Bombyx mori: one gene and its partner. The protein of the gene in region 2 binds, or shares a complex with, the protein of the main gene of each other region. Links are inferred from orthologs where the notes say so. Each region holds a gene or a part of one and is shown on either strand. Other genes may lie near its edges. The genes, in order: MIP18 family protein galla-2 and NIF3-like protein.

Evidence for each region.
Region 1: the proteins of NIF3-like protein (region 2) and MIP18 family protein galla-2 are in contact, whole or in part, in a crystal structure (PDB 6TBN), measured with the Drosophila melanogaster proteins. The link is inferred for Bombyx mori from reciprocal best matches to the Drosophila melanogaster genes Ciao1 and galla-2. Residues at the interface, in NP_610996.1 of Drosophila melanogaster: Arg16, Trp18, Arg60, Thr61, Arg63, Phe79, Glu105, Lys107, Arg123, Asp150, Lys152, Tyr168, Asn170, Ser195, Thr196, Trp198, Thr216, Ser248, Gly249, Gln250, His251, Ser252, Arg253, Tyr256, Gly272, Asp273, Asp274, Arg277, Glu299, Gln304; in NP_648416.1 of Drosophila melanogaster: Ser74, Pro106, Lys109, Thr111, Ala124, Lys127, Gln128, Asp131, Lys132, Glu133, Arg134, Ala136, Ala137, Glu140.

What each region holds. Positions count from the first base shown.
Region 1 is NC_085117.1:634,302-644,273, reverse strand, and holds MIP18 family protein galla-2, read right to left. Parts: upstream 6,630-9,972; 5' UTR 6,505-6,629; coding exon 6,228-6,504; intron 5,398-6,227; coding exon 5,210-5,397; 3' UTR 4,333-5,209; downstream 1-4,332. Other genes in the region: intersectin-1, read left to right, coding at 8,003-8,125, 8,899-8,997, 9,540-9,618. UniProt on the Drosophila melanogaster protein: Component of the crb-galla-Xpd (CGX) complex which is essential for proper mitotic chromosome segregation in early embryos. The CGX complex is also required for cell proliferation in developing wing disks.
Region 2 is NC_085116.1:9,597,812-9,607,958, forward strand, and holds the start of NIF3-like protein, read right to left. Parts: upstream 6,288-10,147; coding exon 6,160-6,287; intron 3,179-6,159; coding exon 3,047-3,178; intron 1,885-3,046; coding exon 1,708-1,884; intron 1,072-1,707; coding exon 878-1,071; intron 1-877. UniProt on the Drosophila melanogaster protein: Essential component of the cytosolic iron-sulfur (Fe/S) protein assembly machinery. Required for the maturation of extramitochondrial Fe/S proteins.

The DNA of each region.
Region 1 (9,972 bases), on a different chromosome or scaffold from region 2:
CCCGATGTGGTAAGTTCAAACAAATTTTCTGCCGGATTACTGAACACCTACCTTTTTTTTATTGCTTAGATAGATCGACGAGCTCACGGCCTACCTGGTGTTAAGTGATTACTGGAGCCCATAGACATCTACAACGTAAATGCGCCACCCACCTTGAGATATAAGTTCTAAAGTCTCAAGTATGTTATCGTCCATAAGTCTCATCTTCATAGTCGATTACTCTTGGCAGAGCAGTAGTGGTCATGTGGGATCCTTGTTTATTATAAGCCTTGACGGCTGTTCTCCAATACTCTGATATACTCATTCCTTATCAGAGGAAGTGTGAAAGTAGCCACGGTAATCAACAAATTAAAGAGCGGACGGTTAGCATGGTGTGGACATGTGATGCGTAGAGAGAAGATGCATGTGACTAGGAGATGTATGGAAATGGCAGTGCAAGGTAGAGAAGGAAGAGGTCGACCGAAGAAGACATGGATGGAGTGTGTGAATGACGATATGAGAGAGAGAGTAGTGAGTGTTGAAATGACGGCTAATAGAAGAGAATGGAAGAGAAAAATTGGCTGTGCCGACCCAACCTAGTGGGATAAGGAGGAGACAAAGAAGAGACAGCTGCTCTCCGTAATTCGCGAAGACTTAGCGCATGCAGTCGTCAAATGGGGTTTTGGTGAGATTCTTAACTTGATCAGTCCAGCGCATGGGGCTTTGTCCACGAGGTCTTTTACTATTGACCCTACCCTGAACAATAAGTTTCTCGATAGACTCTGCTGGCCTTACGTGTACCTATCTCCTCCTTGCGTCATGTTCTTCAGTGCTGAGGATCGTGACATTTACAGAGCACTTTTGTTAGGACTATGTTCCTCCATCCCATCCTGTCCTCCACGTAGTGGATAACGACATTGATGCTGAAGTCCAAAGTCCTCTTGATCCGATCGGACCAGAGGGATTACGCTCCCTAAGCCTCTTATCTTCCACTTTGCCACTATTGAGGAGGTCTTTCGAGATTGTCATGCTTTTTTTACGTGTAGGTACCTACGTTGTGTGTTTATTTAGGGTAATTAAAACTAGTTTTCAATAGTACCCTGAATGCGGTCTCCAAGTAAAAAAAAACTTTTTGTACTTGCCATCCTTAGGAAGCATATTATATTAAAATTACAGTTCAATTATTGGAGGGGTAGAAACAGTGGTGGATTTACGCATTACACATAGGACCTGAAGCGACATGAGTTGAGGGGCGGGAATTTTTTATGAAAAGCCAATAGATTCAGAGACGATAAAAAATAAACACAATCTCGTATGAAAAATAAATGTAGATTAATTTATTATTCATAAAAAAAATACGTGTGGTACTCAGGGACTGCGGCGGTAAAGCTATTGCATAGCATTTTGTATCAACTTAGGCAATTATAATGTTGAAACTCCCCTTGAAGTGTAAAAAATCAGCTTCTGGGTCGGGCAATAATTGTTAATTAATATAATTTCTTTTGTGGATTGAATGCAAATAATGAGTTCTTGTTATCACTGACAAGAATCTCACTTATTTATGTTTCTAATTACGAATCAGATACCTTTTGGCGAGAACGCGTGCAGATAATAAGTTGCGTGAATTGTTTTATTTTAATAATATATAAGTAGTCTCTATTCGTGTGTCATCATTCTCCTGCCCTTCTCCCAGTCACATGGGGTCGGTGCAACATGTTTTCTCCTTCCATACTCTTCTATCATATACCATTTCTTCGCTCACTCCCCTCCTACCCATATCGTCTTTCACGCAATCCATCCATTTCTTCTTAGGTCTACCTCTTCCTCTAAATCCTTCCACATTCATAGTTAACACTCTCTTAACAACATCATTTTCATTTGGTCTCATCACATGTCCATATCATCCCAAGCGCGCACTCCTCGGCTTCTCTGTCACAGGTGCCACTTTCTCTCTTCTTTATTCTTGTGTGAGCGTGCAATAATGATAATGGTTTATTTATCAGTTAGCGTCGGTGAAAGGGCACAAATTCGGGGAAATTAAAAAAAATCGCTGGACGTGTATTGTAGATCGGGTCCTACAAAAAATAAATAACGAAATCTCAGTAAATTCCTATCATTTTACTTTAAGACTAATTTCAATGCGAAATTTTAGATAAATCATTAACATTTGATTTATTTCATTATATAATGTGTAAGCGACATTATTGCAACTTCACAGGAGACCCTTATAGAGTTTACAATTTGGAAAAATGATTTTAACAAAAAAAAAAACTTCAGCTTTTGAATGGAGTAAACTAAGTTGAAGTTCAATTAAAAATATGACATGATAATTATGTGGATATCATATTATAAACTCGACGCTGGCAACAATGTCATTACAAAAAGCAAAAAAAAAAAACAATTTGGAACATTTTGCCATAGATACGCGACACATTGCGATTCGTATTTCTTATCTATTTCAATTAATTTACTAAATGAATAATCCTACTAGCGTCTTATTTACGACTGCAAGTTTTTAATAGCACAAACACTTGCTATTATTAGGTAGGTACGTGCGAAGATAAATGTCATCTAAAATTTTTACATCTAATGTGTTGTCTAGGCACTATGACATCTAAAGGAGAATGTATTATGTTCGATCGATGTTTGTATATAAGAATATGTAACATTAAGATTGTGAAAATTGATAATTTATGTAAACGAAAAATATCACTGTGTTGTGTGAAATGAAATAAACTGATTAATGTCCTAAGTATATTGTGGTTTTCTTACGTAGGGCTCGGACTCGGTAGGCAGCGGCTTGGCTCTGCCCCTGGCATTGCTGAAGTCCATGGGCGACGGTAACTACTCACCATCATGTGGGCCGTGTGCTCGTCTGCCTACAAGGGCAACAAAAAAAAAAGTCGTATCTACTTCAGTGTGCTTAGTGCGAGTCTATTAAAGTTCTCGATAGCGTAAAAGTTGGCCCAATTTTGTATGCATTTGGAACAGCGCCCCACATAGCGGCAAACATAGGCAAACGATCCCATTCCATACAAATATGAGTTAACTTTTACGCTATCGAGAACGTTAAAAAACTCGCACTAAGCACACAGACATATTGCTTGGTTAGTAAGGAACGCCGAGATACACGACGACCTGGACCTCGTAACGATTCGAAAACATGAAGTCAGCGTCGGAACTGCACTTCGATGAAGCTATGCGTCATGTTAATCGCCCAATCGTGACCGCCGCTGACTGCTTCCCGAATGCTGATTATGCAGGAGCCAGTCACCGTCGACGCCCTAGACGCGTCCTTACGGATCCATCAGATCCAATAACCCTTGCATTAGACGCCTTTAGCTCTAACATTAGCAGCAGGTTTAGGGGCTCTGGTAACTGCGCAACCTAATCCATATCCATACACCAGCCCAGCTGAGTTTCTCGCTGTATATTTTGAGCGGGTCGCGATTCCGATCCGGTAGTAGATGCATTCGCGGAGCAGCTGCTCTTGAGTTGTTAGGTCTCCTTCGGAGGCGCTCGGGCAACTTTTTATTAATTTATTGCTTAGGTGGGTGTACGAGTTCACGGCCCACCTGGTGTTAAGTGGTTACCGGAGCGGTAAATGTCGCCACCTATCTTGAGATATAAGTTCTAAGGTCTCAAGTATAGTTACAACGGCTGCCCCACCCTTCAAACTGAAACGCATTACAGCTGCACGGCAGAAATAGGCAGGGTGGTGGTGCCTACCCGCGCGGACTCACAAGAGGTCCTAACACCAGTATTGTTCGTAATTGTTCACATAAAGTATAGGCCAAAATTATCCGAAATAACATACTATACTATAACCCTAGTCATTGGGCACGATCGAAATTTTATTCCTGAACGCGCAGGTGTCACCTGACGTCAGTCATTCTCGCGCCGATTTAGCATTTAAAATAAAAATAATATCTTCGTATACATAATATTAATATAATTAGTATCGTCTAGTCCAGGGGTTCTCAAACATATTTTGTCTACAGTACACTTTGAGAATAAATTATTTTTTAGCGCCCCCGTTTTTTCACCTACTTAACCACTATAGAAAGACCTCGGTCGTTGTCTAAGTCCTCCAAGACGAAATTACAAATCGCTTCCCAAGCCTCTACACAACGCCCCCATTTTTTTTCTGGGTCTCTTACCATCCTTTATGCCTACAGCGACAAGCGGGCGTTATCGCCCACTTTGAGAAAGGCTGATCTAGTTCCTAGCTTAGTTTTCTCAGTTTTCTTGTTAAAATCCGAATACCACAAAAATATAAGTGTTTATAAAATAAGAGTTTGACTTTTTGAGTGCAAATTTCCCGCGAATACGAGCAGTAAATAACAAACCACATACATAATTTATTTATTTATTAACTATACAAAATATTTTTACATAAATTCACTAAAAATATACATTTTTTTTTCTATGATTATTTAGGCTATCAACTTTTATTATCCAGTAGACAGATATCAGAGCACATTGAAAACATAGTGTATATTATCATTATTCATGGAACACAAGGTCTAAATATTAATGGTGGTAGGACAAAAAAAAAAAAAAAACACAATTGCAAGTCTAGATCACTATATTTTTCTGACGTCAAGCAGTAATGAATTTCACTTTCATGATTTCCCTGGGCTCTAGTGACAGATTAAATACCATTGCCGGCAAGTTTGACCCATATGAGCAATAAATAAATATAAAATAGAAAGCCTTTTATTTCCTGCTAAAATACAAAATAAATAGGTATTTAATGTTTATTTATCTCTTATTGCCTAGATGTGTGGACGAGCTCACAGCCCACCTGGTGTTAAGTGGTTACTGGAACATCTACAATGTAAATGCGCCACACACCTTCAGATATAAGTTCTAAGATCTCAGTATAGTTACAACGGCTGCCCCACCTTTCAAACCGAAACGCATTACTGCTTCACGGCAGAAATAGGCGGGGCGGTGGTACCCACCCGCGCGGACTCACAAGAGGTCCTACAGGAACCCATTAAGCATTCAAGTATTTATAAGCAATAATAAATAATATAAGCTGTCTCCTTCAAAACAGGTACCAGCAAGTGACCAATGAAGTCATAGGCATCATATTTTAAGATCGATAATTGAATGATACGTCTATAACCTCAAATGTATATGCAAGTGAATCAGATGCCGTACCAGCATTCTTTGGACCAAAGCCACTGATAATCTGGCTTACAAATAAATTTATCCCTATCAATTAAACAGCTATGCATTGATTGATGATTTGCAGTAGATTATTGTTCTCTAAAGCTGCAGCAACTCTTTCCTTGTCCGCTAACTGTTTGTTGACCGCATGTTCGGAAGCGTGAGAGCCCTCCGATACTTGTACGGTCACTTTGAAACGGCTTGGCAGAGCTCGGAGTAGTTGAACTCGTATTGAAAGACCTGAAATAAAAATCAAATCTCATTAATTAAGCTTGCAGTACTTTTTTCCGGAAGCTTCACAACTTTAATTAGAACTATAACAGAACAGATTATCTACAAAAGTGTTTAACTGCACTAGGGGAATGAACAAGCTCACAGCTCTCATAGTTTATAGCCATTACAGATGTCCGTGGACATCACATTGGGACAACTGCCACCCATCTTGAGTCCTGAACTCGAAGTTTGAGCAACTCGAAGTTTGAGCCCTATTTTAAAATTACTCTCTCTTAAGCAAAAACAATAATGGTTCAAATTGGGAATAGGCTAGACAGTAGTGACTATTCCGTGGACAAAATATCAGACTAACGCATCCATATTAAAACAGCTCAATATCCAAAGGCTTTCTATCGTCTGCTTCAGGAAGATATTTGAGTTCTTCGATCATATTGGCCGAAAGAGAGGTGACAATTTTGAAATATAACTGGCGAGATCTTTTCAACTGCCTAAGATGAGAGATGAGAGATAAGAGTTTACGGTAACCCATTATCAATCCATTGAAAATGGTCAGCGGTAGACTGCACTTTAGTTGCACCCCTGAAATTGCTACCTTCCATGAGGGACTGTAGCTACTCCCCACCAAGCGGGCTGTATGATCGTCTACCCACGCAATTAAAAAAAGGAAGCTGTTCGTTGGCTGGGCATGAATGTTTATTTGCTTGCCAATAAAAAAACATTAGTATGATAATATTAATTTAGAAATATTGGCTGTTCCACCATTATCGGTGTGCGTTGGTTATGTGTGTGTTACTCTCTCATTAACTATAGGTTTTAATGCTAAAAAAAGTACGTACCTATCAGAGTCGCCATACTGCAATGGGGAATTGTCGGTGTAAAATTGACTAATACAGTACTATCATCGTTATTAACGATTATATTCTTCTCTTCCACCACCCTGAGCTCCTCGAGTGTCAATGGGTGTTCAGGATCATTTATATTTCGTATTAAATCAAATATTTCGCGATCATCAAATTCATCTTGCAAGTCTTCGTCGCGTTCCGAAGAAGTGATCTCCCGTTCTGAACCCTTCTCGTAAATGTGAGGGTTGATGTTATCCGCTGTTTTGGTCATTTTATAAGTTCGAACTTTTTATTATATCAATTCGTTCTACTCAAAATATATTTTTTGGTACAATTTTTCCTTATTATGAAAGGCAAGGGGATCTAAGCCCATACAGCCTTTCTACTCAAAATAATAACTCACTTCTATCTCTATCTCTTTTTTTTAGGAATTTTATGACATGGTAACTAAGATCTTTAAGTCATATCTTATTTTAGTTTATATTCTTAATTTTATGAAAAATGACAGACGCTGCTAATGTAATTCATATCTACTTACACAGAATAATAATGGCCAACATAGACAGTTTCCTTCGTTTTTTATTATTTATAAACGGCAAAATAATTAATAATTGACACTGGCTAATGCACAAACCGAGCGAGCCACAATAAAAAAATTAACTGTCAAAAACCAAATTTCGATTTTGACAGTTGCACCCAATCAAAAAATCAATACTTTATCTAGAACTTTGAGGGGTTTTACTCGATCCTTTTTCAGGAGGATCAGTCTTAAATCTATTCTCTTAGGTCAAACAACAGTTAAAGTAAGTAATACATTATGTAATTCCCTAGAATTTAATTCCTAAATATTTGTTTTAGTTCGCAGACACACCCCCTGCCTGTTGGTACCAAAAGAGTAGTAGTACTTATTATTAATTTATTGAACAACGTTGATTTTAACAAAAAAATGTATTGAATATTAGTGCTTAAGGTATCTTTAAACTTTATCCGGGTCACGGAGTTATAAAACAACGAGCTAGCAATATTAAAAAATTAAGAACATTATCTTGAACTGCTCTACCAATTGTAGTATTCTAATACTTATTGTATGTTGAGTTACTTATTGTATGTGACACACGTCTGTACGTCGAGCAAATATTTTAAATAGAACTTAGGTACATCTTTAATAGATTTAGAGAAGTGATAAAATATAGGAAAAATTTAGAAGTCTACTTTTCACTTGATTAATCAAGGCTTTTTCGTACTTTATCATGACCTACCATATTGGAGACATTCTATTCATACAATTTGGCTAAAGACACCGCTCCTGATTGTCGGGAAAAAGTTAACAAAAACATGTTGCAATGTCTATTGTTTAAAATCAAACAAATTTTTTTAATAGTACAACATAAACCTTAAACCGTGATATGCATTTCTTTTTTTAAATTTGATAAACCAAGATATGCAGAAACATGCTCATAATAAGATATTATCTGATGGTTTATCTAGTTCAATATTATAACTTAATATAGATATATTCACCTGTTCTAATATTAACTTCCCAAAGGAAGCATTGTTTGATTTCCAAAGACAACATTAAATATACAATGCCAAATTAAAATATTCTCAAAATTACTGCATTAATGTCAATCAAAATGTTGAAAATTAAACAATGAAAAAGGATTAGGATTTTTCTATGATTATAAATTTAGGCTTCCTGTAATGAAGACTGCATACATACTAAGAGGTATATCTTTTTTTAGGTTCAAAGAAACGTCTTTAATTCAGAAATGATGGCGGACCCGTGGACTATACAAGCACATGAGCATGCGAAGTTCTCGGAGCACTTTAGAAACCTTGGACCTGTCAATGGAAATTTGACGGGCGAACAAGCTAAAAGATTCATGTTACAGGTCAGTTAATTTGCGTATTTATTATAAATCTAGAACTTTTTTTTTTTATTGTCCTTGTAGGCAGATGGGCATACGGCCCACCTGATGGTGAGTGGTTACCGTCGCCCATGGACTTCAGCAATGCCAGGGGCAGAGCCAAGCCGCTGCCCTACTGCTGCCTAAAGTTAACTCAAATTTGTATGGATATGGAACAGCGCCCCTAGCGACCAACGTAGGCAAACGTTCCAACTCCAAACAATTTTTTTTTTTCATATTTATTTCGTTTCATATAAATTTGAGTTAACTTTTACGCGATCGAGAACGTTAAAACACTCGCACTAAACACACGAGATGGAATAAAGAGTAAATTAGGCTACTTCTATTTTAGAGAAATTCTAAAATTATTTTTACACGCTGGGGTTCGGGATAAATAAAATTTCCACAAATACAACCACAGTACAAATTAAACACCTAAAATACTTCGTAATTCGCTTTTTCCGCTTCGCTTCAGGTGATCCGTTCGCTGTTTCGCTTCGAGTAGTTCCGATTTCTGGCAAGTCGAGTCGTGTGGATATCTGTTTCCGTTATCTGACAATAGATGGCGTTGTACTTCCCGAGCGTTCTCGAGTTTACTAGTTCCTTTGATATTCACTTCTGCCATTCGACAACAGATGGCGTTGCTCTTATCGGCGTAACATTATTATAGAATAAAGTAATATTTTTTTAATTCCACGCAGACGAATTCGCGGGCACAGCTAGTTTAAAATAAGTTTTGTTTGTCTTTCTGTTCACAGTCTCAGCTTCCTCCACCGGTCTTGGGACAAATATGGTCACTGGCGGACACGAACGCCGACGGTAAGCTGGATTTGAAGGAGTTCTCTATAGCTTGCAAGGTGAGTTTCTGTGTAGTCTTCATAATTTGCGAATGTGCCAACGTCCGTATCCGGTTGAAAAATCGCTCATTAAAAATAACGATGTTAGGATATCGATATTTCCAAAAGTGAAACATCGATATAAAAAACATCGGTTCTTATGGACTATATATACATATATTTATTATATAGAAGCTTTTTTTAAATTTTTGCAAATAAAGTAACCTTTTTTTCGATCATAATCGATGTTCTATCGTACACAGACATAGGACGCCACCTTATGTTCTATCCGTGATCTTTTTTTTATTGCTTAGATGAGTGGACAATCTCACAGCCCACCTGGTGTTAAATGGTTACTGGAGCTCATAGGACATCTATAACGTAAATTCCACCACAAACCTTGAGATATGAGTTCTAAGGTCTCAGTATAGTTACAACGGCTGCGCCAACCTTCAATGCGAAACGCATTACTGCTTCACGGCGGAAATAGGTAGGGTGGTGGTGCCTACCCGTGCGGACTCACAAGACATCCTACCACCAGTAAAATTGTGTGTTCATTACAGATTATAAACTTGAAACTGCGCGGCTTAGAGGTGCCGAAGATGCTTCCACCATCTCTGATCGCCTCTTTAAGCCCCACAGGTGAGTCTCAAGTCTCGTTCGCCCGGTGGAATGTGACCGGGATCCCGGTGGGATAATCACGGGTATTTATGTAATGATACGGAATATTCCAGAATTAATGAACAATAAAATACTTAATTACTTTTCCTGTAATAATACTAAGAAATATTAATACGTGAAGCAAAAACTTTACCCCTTTTTTTACGAAAATCACGCGGACGGAGGAGTTTTCAAACTACCCACACTTATAGAGAATAAAGAGAAGGAGTGCAGAATGTTAATATTTTTTTTCTAAATTATGCATAAAAATACACTAAATCAATAAATAAAACATTACACACACTTTGACAATACAACTTTGACAACACATATTAT
Region 2 (10,147 bases):
TCATATTTTTATACGATAAAGTATAAAGGTAACATAATCATAATAATATTTGCGTAATTACTGGTGGTAGGACCTCTTGTGAGTCCGCGCGGGTGGGTACCACCGCCCTGCCTATTTCTGCCGTGAAGCAGTAATGCGTTTCGGTTTGAAGGGTGGAGCAGCTGTTGTAACTATACTGAGACCTTAGAACTTATATCTCAAGGTGGGTGGCGCATTTACGTTGTGGATGTCTGTGGATGGGCTCCAGTAACCACTTAACACCAGGTGGGCTGTGAGGTCGTCCACTCATCTAAGCAATAAAAAATAAAAATAAATATATATATATGTATATATTACTTTTTTTTAAGGCATGAAATTTTAGATAATCCTCAGAGGGACGGGTATGGTACTTCTGTTAGGGGCCAAATATCGTTGACGTACTTCTTGTCCAAGTTAATATAATTTAAAACATTAATGTGTAAGTATAAGATGTACGACATAAAAGTATACATATTATACAATACATTTTTAATTAAATAGAATAACATAACATTATGTTGTTGCATGTTTTTCGTTAAAATACTAAATAAAGTATGCTTATCGAAAAAGGAAATATCTGAATAAACTGTAATGAAATTTCAGGTACTTCTTTAGCCAATAATATCATCCATTTCTTATTGATCGAAACAAAATCAGTCAGACTTACAGGTAGCACCTCTTTCCCTATTGGACGCCTATCAGTGTTCCCACCCTGCATAATATAATGACGATCGTTCGAAAAGAATCTACCTTACTCCCTATACATGATGTTTTAAAGTGATTTAAATGTTCATCTAATAATATGAAATATTAATCAATTTAATAGAATTTATCAGCTTATTATACTATAATATACTACCTGTCAAATAAAGATCAGCATCGACTCCCTTTAATACCGAACTTCCGGATCCGGCACATAACGCTACCCTCTGAACGGTGTGCGTCATAGACTTTCCCTTTGCGGCAGCGATGCGGACATGGGAGAGTCGTGTAAGTTCCTTAATTCTGTTTACTGCATCAGATAATGGGATTCCGGTGCTCAAATGAAGTAATCTACAAAAAAATATTCTCAATTAATTTAGGGCCGATGTCTTCCTGATCTAACGTGTAAAGGGTACTCGTGCTAAATGTTGCGACGGCTGTAACCGAAACTCTTTGGTAAATACCGAAGACGGCGATTATTTCAAAGACTCCTTAGAATCCATAATATTTATAACAAACAAATCAGATAAGTAGCACTCTCTTCTCTGGTTTTCAAACTTAAATATAAATAGCAAAACGTCGTTTCAAACAAAAATCTGCTATGTGCACTTTTTGAGATTTTTACTTTTTAACATTTTCGTATAGTTTACAGCCTATCTTCGTACAGTTTATCTTTATAAAAAATATACCTTATAAAAAAAACAGTTATGTGTCTATAGCTTTAATTTTTATATATAGCTTTCATTTGATATAGTTCTTAAAAAATCACCTTATAAAATTTTATACGAAAATGTTTTTACTCCTTAATTCAAAATAGAGTTTTTGCACATAGAAGATTTTGGTTTGACAGCGACGAAAATCAAAAAAATATTAATAATAAATTATTACAATAATACAATAATAATTACATTTAATTAATGCAAACATTATGAGGTCAGTGTTTGCGATCAAATTCTTATAATTGGGCGAACTTTTAACATAGCTTACCTGCCGGCTCCGAAGTCGGGGTTGTTTGATTGTAAAATTGGCTTAGACTCTGCGACAGAGAAAGCAGATGCCAACCAGTCATTGACCCCGCCTTGCACACTATCCCAACTAGTATGTGGCGAGTACAGGGCGATTCGTTTTTCTAATAAATAAGATACAACCCGTTCTTTCCACGAACTGTAAAAAATACATATTTGAAATCGCCAAGTTGTAAATAGACTTGATCTAAAGTCTTGTAACAGTTATATAATATAAATATATAATATAATATAATATAATTATAACATTCTATTAAAATAGTTTCGGCTAGCGTTATTGTATAAAAAATATCCCTCGGGAATAGTACACTAAAAGTCTAAATACAAGGTATTCTCAGTCCTTTTCTATTCTACGCACAATGTGTATACCATTTTTATATTTATTATATTAATATGGATAGGTAACCTTCAGATTTACAATTTTACAGACGGTACACTTTTGCCACCGTGCTTTTTGGCATTTAAATAATCAATTCCCAGACGTATAGTCCACCGTGATTTTAGTCATAACTAATACAGTCAAACTTGGGTAATTGAGAACTGGATAAGTAAGAAAACTCTATAAGTGAGAGTAATAGCAAGGACCCGTCATTTTAAGCTCCCAAAACCTCTATTAGCGAGAAACAGAAACCTCTGTAAGAGAGAGTCGTTTTTTCCTCATGGACCTCCGTAAGTGAGACTGCTACCTATCTATACCTCTATAAGCGACAGCCGAGCTTTATTTATTTATTTATATTATTTAGGAAGAACAAATGACAAAACAAATTACAAATTTAACATTTGCTATTTTATGACTCATTTTTAACTTTCGTGGAACTTATTATCATTGTTTTTGTATTGTTTTCTCGTGAATATTGAACCTATTCTATTTCGTGAAACTAAATAACGTTGTTATTTTATCGTATTCTTTTATCGCATTATTTTCGAATGGACACGTGTGCCTGTGTACCGTCCTGTTTGTCGGACTTACTCAGATTATCGTTAATCAATTGCGAAGGAAAGTTCTGTTCTGCATCATGTAAAAACGGAAAATTAAAGTACTGTCATTAAAGTCATAAACTTAAAATAGTGAATGCATTTGAATGCGGAAAATCGCGAATCGAAATTCAGAGGGAGCATTAGCGAGAAACTCGGGTTAGTGAGAAACCTCTATAAGCGAGAATGAGATTGTGCTCCCTTGAACTCTCGCTTATCCAGGTTTGACTGTACTTTCATTTGATAATATAAAATATATGGATACTATGCTGACAAAGTGATAAATAGCGTCAAAGACGTGTGACTAGAACTATATAAATAATTACCGCTGAACAATAGACTTCAAAGGCGCAAATATCGGAGGATGATATGAAATAATCATCTCACACGCCAGAATTTCAGCTTCCAAGGCCACATCTTCTGTTAAGTCGTTAGTTAACAAAATTTTGGTTATTTGTCTGGAATTGAAAATTATAAAAAAATATTATATTTTAAATAGGTAATTAAAAACATAAAGAAAATTAATTTAAATTTGTCAAATTAACTAATGGAAATTTATTTAAAGTATTTTTATAAGTTTGGCGATTATATGTCTGAACTTACAGGCATTTGACTTTAGCTGGTACCACTTCTACATCATCAACTCATATTATAGTTGCATCCTCACTTTGTGTTCTGTATAGATCTTTCTATAACAGGGGAGTGACTTTTAGTCCACACTGGTTGTGTTTGAGAATAGACTGTATTTTTTAAATCTTGTGATTCGCAAAAGTGCAATGGGCATTGGCCATGTAATTTTATTTATTTTTATTAAAAAGGTTTTCGAGGAATAGGTTAGCTGATTACAGAAAACCAATTTTCAATGAAATAATATAATATAATTATATATGAAAAATAATTATATACCCATGTTTTAATCAAACATGTTTGGTAATCCTCAAATAATGTCATCATTGGCTTTATTCAAAGAGACACTTTAGCCTATATATTTTATATACCCTACATACGGCTGAATTGACAGTTTATAATTTGAAACTTCAAAGCACATACAATTTCAACCCAAAGCATGAAGGTAATCATAACTTTAATACTTAAGACTTATCTATCAATTCTATGTCTTCTTCTTCTTATCAGCCCACAGACGTCCACTACTGGACACAGGGCTCCCCCAAGTCTCGCCACAAAGACCGGTCCTGCGCTGCCTGCATCCAGCAGATTCCCGCGAATCTCAATAGATCGTCGTTCTATCTTGCGGGAGGCTTGCCCACGCTACGTCTTCCGGTACGCGGTCGCCACTCAAGAACTTTCTGGCCCCAACGGCCATCCGTTCTACGAGCAATGTGCCTTGCCCACTGCCAATTCAACGTCGCAATTCTTTGGGCTATGTCGGTTATCATGGTTTTCCTGCGAATCTCCTCATTTCTGATTTATCTCGCAGGAAAACTCCAAGCATAGCCTCTCCATTGCTCTTTGAGTGACCTTGAGCCTTCTCATAAGGGCCATTGTGAGCAACCACATTTCAGAGCAACACACACTGATCAAAGACTTTCGTCTTGAGACACTGTGGTATTTGTGATGAGAAGATTTACGTAGCTTTCCGAACGCTGCCTATCCAAGCTGGATTCGACGATTGACCTCTTTTTCGAAGTTGGACTTACTTAGCAGGACAGTGTGTCCCAGTTAAATATACTCGTCAACAACTTCGAGCGTAGAGCTTCCAATTTTTACTGGAGTGGGCGCTATATGAACATTCAACATAATTTTTGTTTTTTCCATGTTCATATTCAGGCCCACTCGGATAGAAGCCCTACTGAGGTCTTTGAGCATTGTACTAAGGTCCTCCAAGGTCTCGGCCATAGTCACAATATCGTCGGCGAACTATGTACTCGCCGATGATGTTTATGCTAGCCCTTTCCAGTTCAGAACTTTGAAAATGTCTTCCAACGCAGCGGTAAATAGTTTCGGAGAAATAACATCTCTGCAAGACTGCATAATCATCTCGCGACGTTCTTCCATGAGTTTGAAAGTAGGGTCTGAGAGTTTTTTGGTTCTGTTTGCACGACGGGTTCCAAAAATCTTGGAACCGATCGTATGGACAGCATTCACAAACCCGTTATTGTAATCGTCCACGGAGCCTCCTAGGCACTCGAAGCGGTTTTGAAGTTCGAGCTGAAAGTGTCTAGAACTTTGGATCTGAGCTGGTGCTGAACGGAGCGTAGACCTCATAACTCGGAATCTCTCAAGGTTTATTGAGGTTCATTGTGCCTCTTACCACCCGATGATCACTTCCGGTTTTAATCGTATTGATCACAGAGACATCATAATAAAATCTGCGACATAATAAAATCAATCTCATTTTTGATAGCGCTATTGGGGCTCATCCAGGTCCACTTCCTGTGACCCCGTTTTCTGAAGAGGTCATCATAAATAATTCTTTCTTCTCCATGAAATCGGCAAGTAAGTTTCCCTGGTGATTTCGATGCCCAAATCCAAATGGTCCTACTCGCAGCTCCCCTTCGCACCGTTTACCGAGTCTGGCGTTGATATCCCCCATGACAATGGTGAAGTGAGTTGTAGAGCTATGCATGGCTCTGGAAATGTCCTATTACATAGTCGGAGCGTAAACCTGTATTATCTTCAACGAATACCTTTTGGTGATTCTGAGTACAAGGTACAACCACTCTGGTCGATACACTCTCGATTTACAACACATTATTCATAGGGGACTTGTGGACGATAATCCCGACACCACCTTAAGACAGATGATCACCTTCCCGAAAATAGAACAAGTTACCGGACCTCAGAATTATCGTTTCCTCTCCCTCTCTTCGGACTTCAGATAAGCCCACAATGTCCCACCGTAACCTGCTCAATTCCTCCTCGAGTTCCACAATCTTCTCATCGGTCCGCAGTGTTCGCGCGTTATATGTTGCCAGGTCCAATCGTCGTTTTTTACGTAGCCGGATCTCTGCCGGAGATTCTTAGCACCCCCTGCCCCGCCGTTACCTTGACCGCTACTGTAGCCAGGAATAGCGGAGCTGCCGAGGACTGGGCGGTTTTTATTTGTGTCAGACATGTTGGGAGGGGTTTCCATAATCGCCACGCTTGGCATGCGGGTTGGCGATCGCAGTATGCTGTTATGATACTCAGAGAACGTTGCCGCTCATTCTCTGGATAACCCGTTAGTCGCCCGGTATTATTCTTTATCGAGGCCACACCACACGGACACCACACGGCCAATTCTGTGTAATCCTCTACAATAAGTCTAAAGACTAAAGCAATACACAGTAAGGCTTAGCATCTCTGTCATTACCAGTTTCTATGTGAGGCAGTAGCTACCTTAATATAATTATTATAATAGTACATAATTTTAAATGAATAACATTTTTTTTTGTTACTGCTAGTGGGTATTTGTAGTCAAGAATAAATTTGCTCATACCTCGGTGTGTAAGGTTCCACCAACAAACCAGTGTTATCCCAACTCTCTGCCAATTCTTTTGGAGCAAATTTTTCAAGTACTGTTACTACTCTTTCCAAAGACACTGCACAGAATTTCTCAGTTGACATTTTGATAAAATGTGTGAACAAGTGATTCCTTGAATTTCTTGACTTTAAAATGTGCCTGCCTAACTGAAAGAACATTAGTAATATCTGAAAAAAGTTTAATTTTTAAATGTAAAATTTACTAATAAATTTGAAATAAAACATTGTTAAAAAATTAAATTTTACCAAAAGGCATTTTGAAAAGATTCAGTGAAATAATAAATGCTGTTTTTCATCATTATTTTAATCCAAACTTTATTTCCTTTTTCCTTATCTTTAAAACTAACTACTCCATTATAAAAACAATTAACTGATGTTTAATTTATAAATTGGAATTTTATAATGCCACTTTTAATTTTTAATATGGTTTGTAATAGTTTAATATGGTATATTGTGTAATAATATAGTACTTTAGTGTTTTGTTAATTCATATTATAAGACCGTTTCTTATACCAAAAAAAACCTGACTGTGGGTATTTTGTATAGTTCAATGATTGGATCTAAAGAAGTTGATATTTCATAATAATTGTCAGATTTTCAAAGCTTTCATATTTAAAAAAAATATGTAAGCCCATGGATTATATCAGCAAGCCAGTGCAGTGTATACCAAAACATTTTATCTATGTTATAATGTTTTTTGTTATTTTTTTTATTAGTTATTTGGGTTATGTTCGTGAACAATAATACTAAATCATGTTTTCAACAATTATTATAAAGACTGAAACTTATACTGTATTTACAATACATTTATATCTTGCTAGATACAATCACAGCTAATGTCTTGTGGCATAACCTTAATATAAAATTATTATCACTCCTTGTTAGATTTTTTGATCATTTCTATTTGATCTTTCTGTCAATAATTAGTTACTTTAAGCTTCTGTAAACTTCCATATTTTTATTTCTCCATCATCACTACAAGAAAGCAGTTCTTGATTTCCTGAAGGATTCCAAGCTACACAGTTTACATCTTGAGAATGAGCATTTTTCTTTGTACAAAGAAGTTCAAAAGTGGGAGCATTAGGATCAGAATCTTCACTCTCTTTAAATATTCTAATGATATCATCTCCACAAGCAGTAGCTATGAGGTCAGTTTTATGACACCAAGCAATATCATAAATACATCGTGTGTGAAATCCAGAGAGTGTACATATGCATTTCCAGACTGCCTCTCGATCAGTCACCACAACACCTTCTTGATTATCAGGTTTGTATTCTTTCCAAATTTTTACAGTTCTATCGTCACTACATGTCGCCAGTCTTTCTCCAGTTTTATCAAATGCCAAACTCCAAACTGTTGACTCATGCGAATGTAGAGTGGCAACACAAGTCCAATCATTATCTACAGGATCTTCTTGGTACAGTTTTACTGTGTTATCATAAGATGCTGATGCTAAGATATCTAGAGAAGGATGCCATGCAACCTATAAAGAAAATAATATAATTTATCCATTCATTATATGTAAGAAACACAAACTCAATTTTGTTTATTCATGCACTAACTTTCTTCACATCCTGATTGTGAGCATTAAGTACAGCTTCACACTCGTATTCATCTTCTCCAGCTACTTCCCACACCCAAACAGACTTATCTCTTCCACAAGTAGCCAGGAGATGGCCTGAAGGTGACCATGCTACACTTTTAACTTCATTTTCATGGCCTTCTAAAGTTGCATTGCATTGGAATTCACCTATAAAGTGTTACTCATTTTAATTTTGGATGTACAAATTCTTCACAGGGTCACAAGGGAAAAATACACACCACTTTTTTTATCCCAAATTGCAGTAGTCGCATCAAAACTGGCTGAAGCGAGGAAATTACCGCAGGGTGACCAGGCTACTTCCCGAATTGTTCTCTGATGTCCATCGACAAGTACAGTCTTAATCGCCCAATCTTGTCCATATTTACTCCATAATTTTATAGTTTTATCTTCACCACAAGAAGCAAAATATTTTCCAAGTGGATGCCACGACACATTCCAAACTATACCCTTGTGTCCGGCCAGATTTTGAATCAGTTCCAGTTTAAACATTTTAAGCGTTTATTCTATTTACTTATTTTGTATAATAATGACGTCAACTGGAAATTTACATAATATTCGGCTATTAAGGAACTATAACACTTAATTTATGTATAAACATACAAATAAGTCATTGTGGAATCTTTTTGGAAAATTTTAAACGTTAGTATGTTGATTTTTTAATACACGTATTATTGTTTATACGTTTTGTTCATTAAATTAGTCAAGATAAATTAGTAAAGTTATGTACTCACTTCGTGTTTGCCACTCGAGAAGAGTGAAGTTCTTGAAAACAAATTGTTTCAGAAATGTAATTTTTTTGAAATAATCACTGTAGAATATTTGTCAAATATGACATTTAAGGTTTTTCAAAAAAATGGAAGTCAATGGCTTTAGGGCCATTGGCCAGAAATGTCCAGATAACATTTAAGGGACAAATAAAATTGCGACTATTGACAAAAATGCGATGAAATTTTATTTGAATTAAGTATTTTTTTAGATTTAAGCATTTATTGATGGTGGCATATTAAACATTCTATAACGCATTGTTACAATTGTCACTATCTAAAACGCATTGTTACAAGTGGGAAAAAACCAAATTTCCAAATAACCCATTGAGCTACAAGTAAATTCCCACCATTTAACTAATGTAATTTCATTTTATTTCGAAGGAAGAGATAACAGATGGTCTGCGGCTGTTTCCGGTTTCACCAGAACAGTTGGGGTCAACCTCTTAACAGATGATTACCTATATACGCATTTTATTTTAAAAAAAACTGAAGCTATAAGGTGTTGTAGCCAGTGGCCGAAAAATTACCTACAAAAAAAATGTGTTTTGTATTTGCTCTGTGCTTGTAACTCGTAATTTTAAATTTGTAATTTTCAGTCATAGAGTTACTATCCTAACTGGAGTGCTTACTTCGTTTGACATAAAAACAAAAAATATACTTTATCTCTATGACTTAAAGTTTATTTTTAAATAGCAAAAGATGTAAGGAAAAACGGTCTGAAAAGAGAATGATTATTAAGTGGTGGTGTCCCTCTCGCACATTTTACAAACAAAAAGCAGTGTTGCTAGCTTAGAGGATTTTCCACAAAATCTCGTAATTTGGACCCCTATCTTACTTATAAAAAATGGCATTTAGTGGTTAGTGGATTTTTTAGTAGCTTGGGCGTTGTTGAAAATTATCGAAAAGGTTAAAATCAATCCACTTTACAGGATTTTAAACATTTTATGACAATAATATATCTAAATACATATTATTTAAACGATGTGACTTTGACTTAAACTTAACTAGAAAATGTTGCGAGAATTTAGAATTTCCATCAACGTAAAAAATTGAATTGGTCCAAAATAAACGTACAAAGTTATGGTGAAATTAGTTTCTGATGATGACAATTTATTAAAATAAATTATATGAGAAGTATTGATTATATGATATATATTGATTTTTAATAGAACATCATATATTAATAAAGCTCGTTAACAAAAAAATTATTGTTCTATATTAATAAGAACTCTGTTTAATGGAAAATTTAATGGTAGGTACGTAGATTTCTGATGGTTTTCATGTTGAATTTGGTGGGAAGCCAGATTAATTGTTGGCATCACCGAAAAAGAGCTATGAATGGATTAAAAGAAAAATGGCGTCTATTTACGTTTGTAGTTTGAAGTTAAAAGGGCACTGATACAGCTTGTGGCTTGTTTTTTTTCGAAAATCGTGAAAGTTTCCGTGTAATCATGGTGAACACTTGTATTGTAAGTGGTTATAAGCGAGAATCCTCTCCAGTTTGTGGAATATCCTTCCATATGTCAGATTCATTGATAAATTTTTACTAGTGTGAGCATATATTTTTAAAATG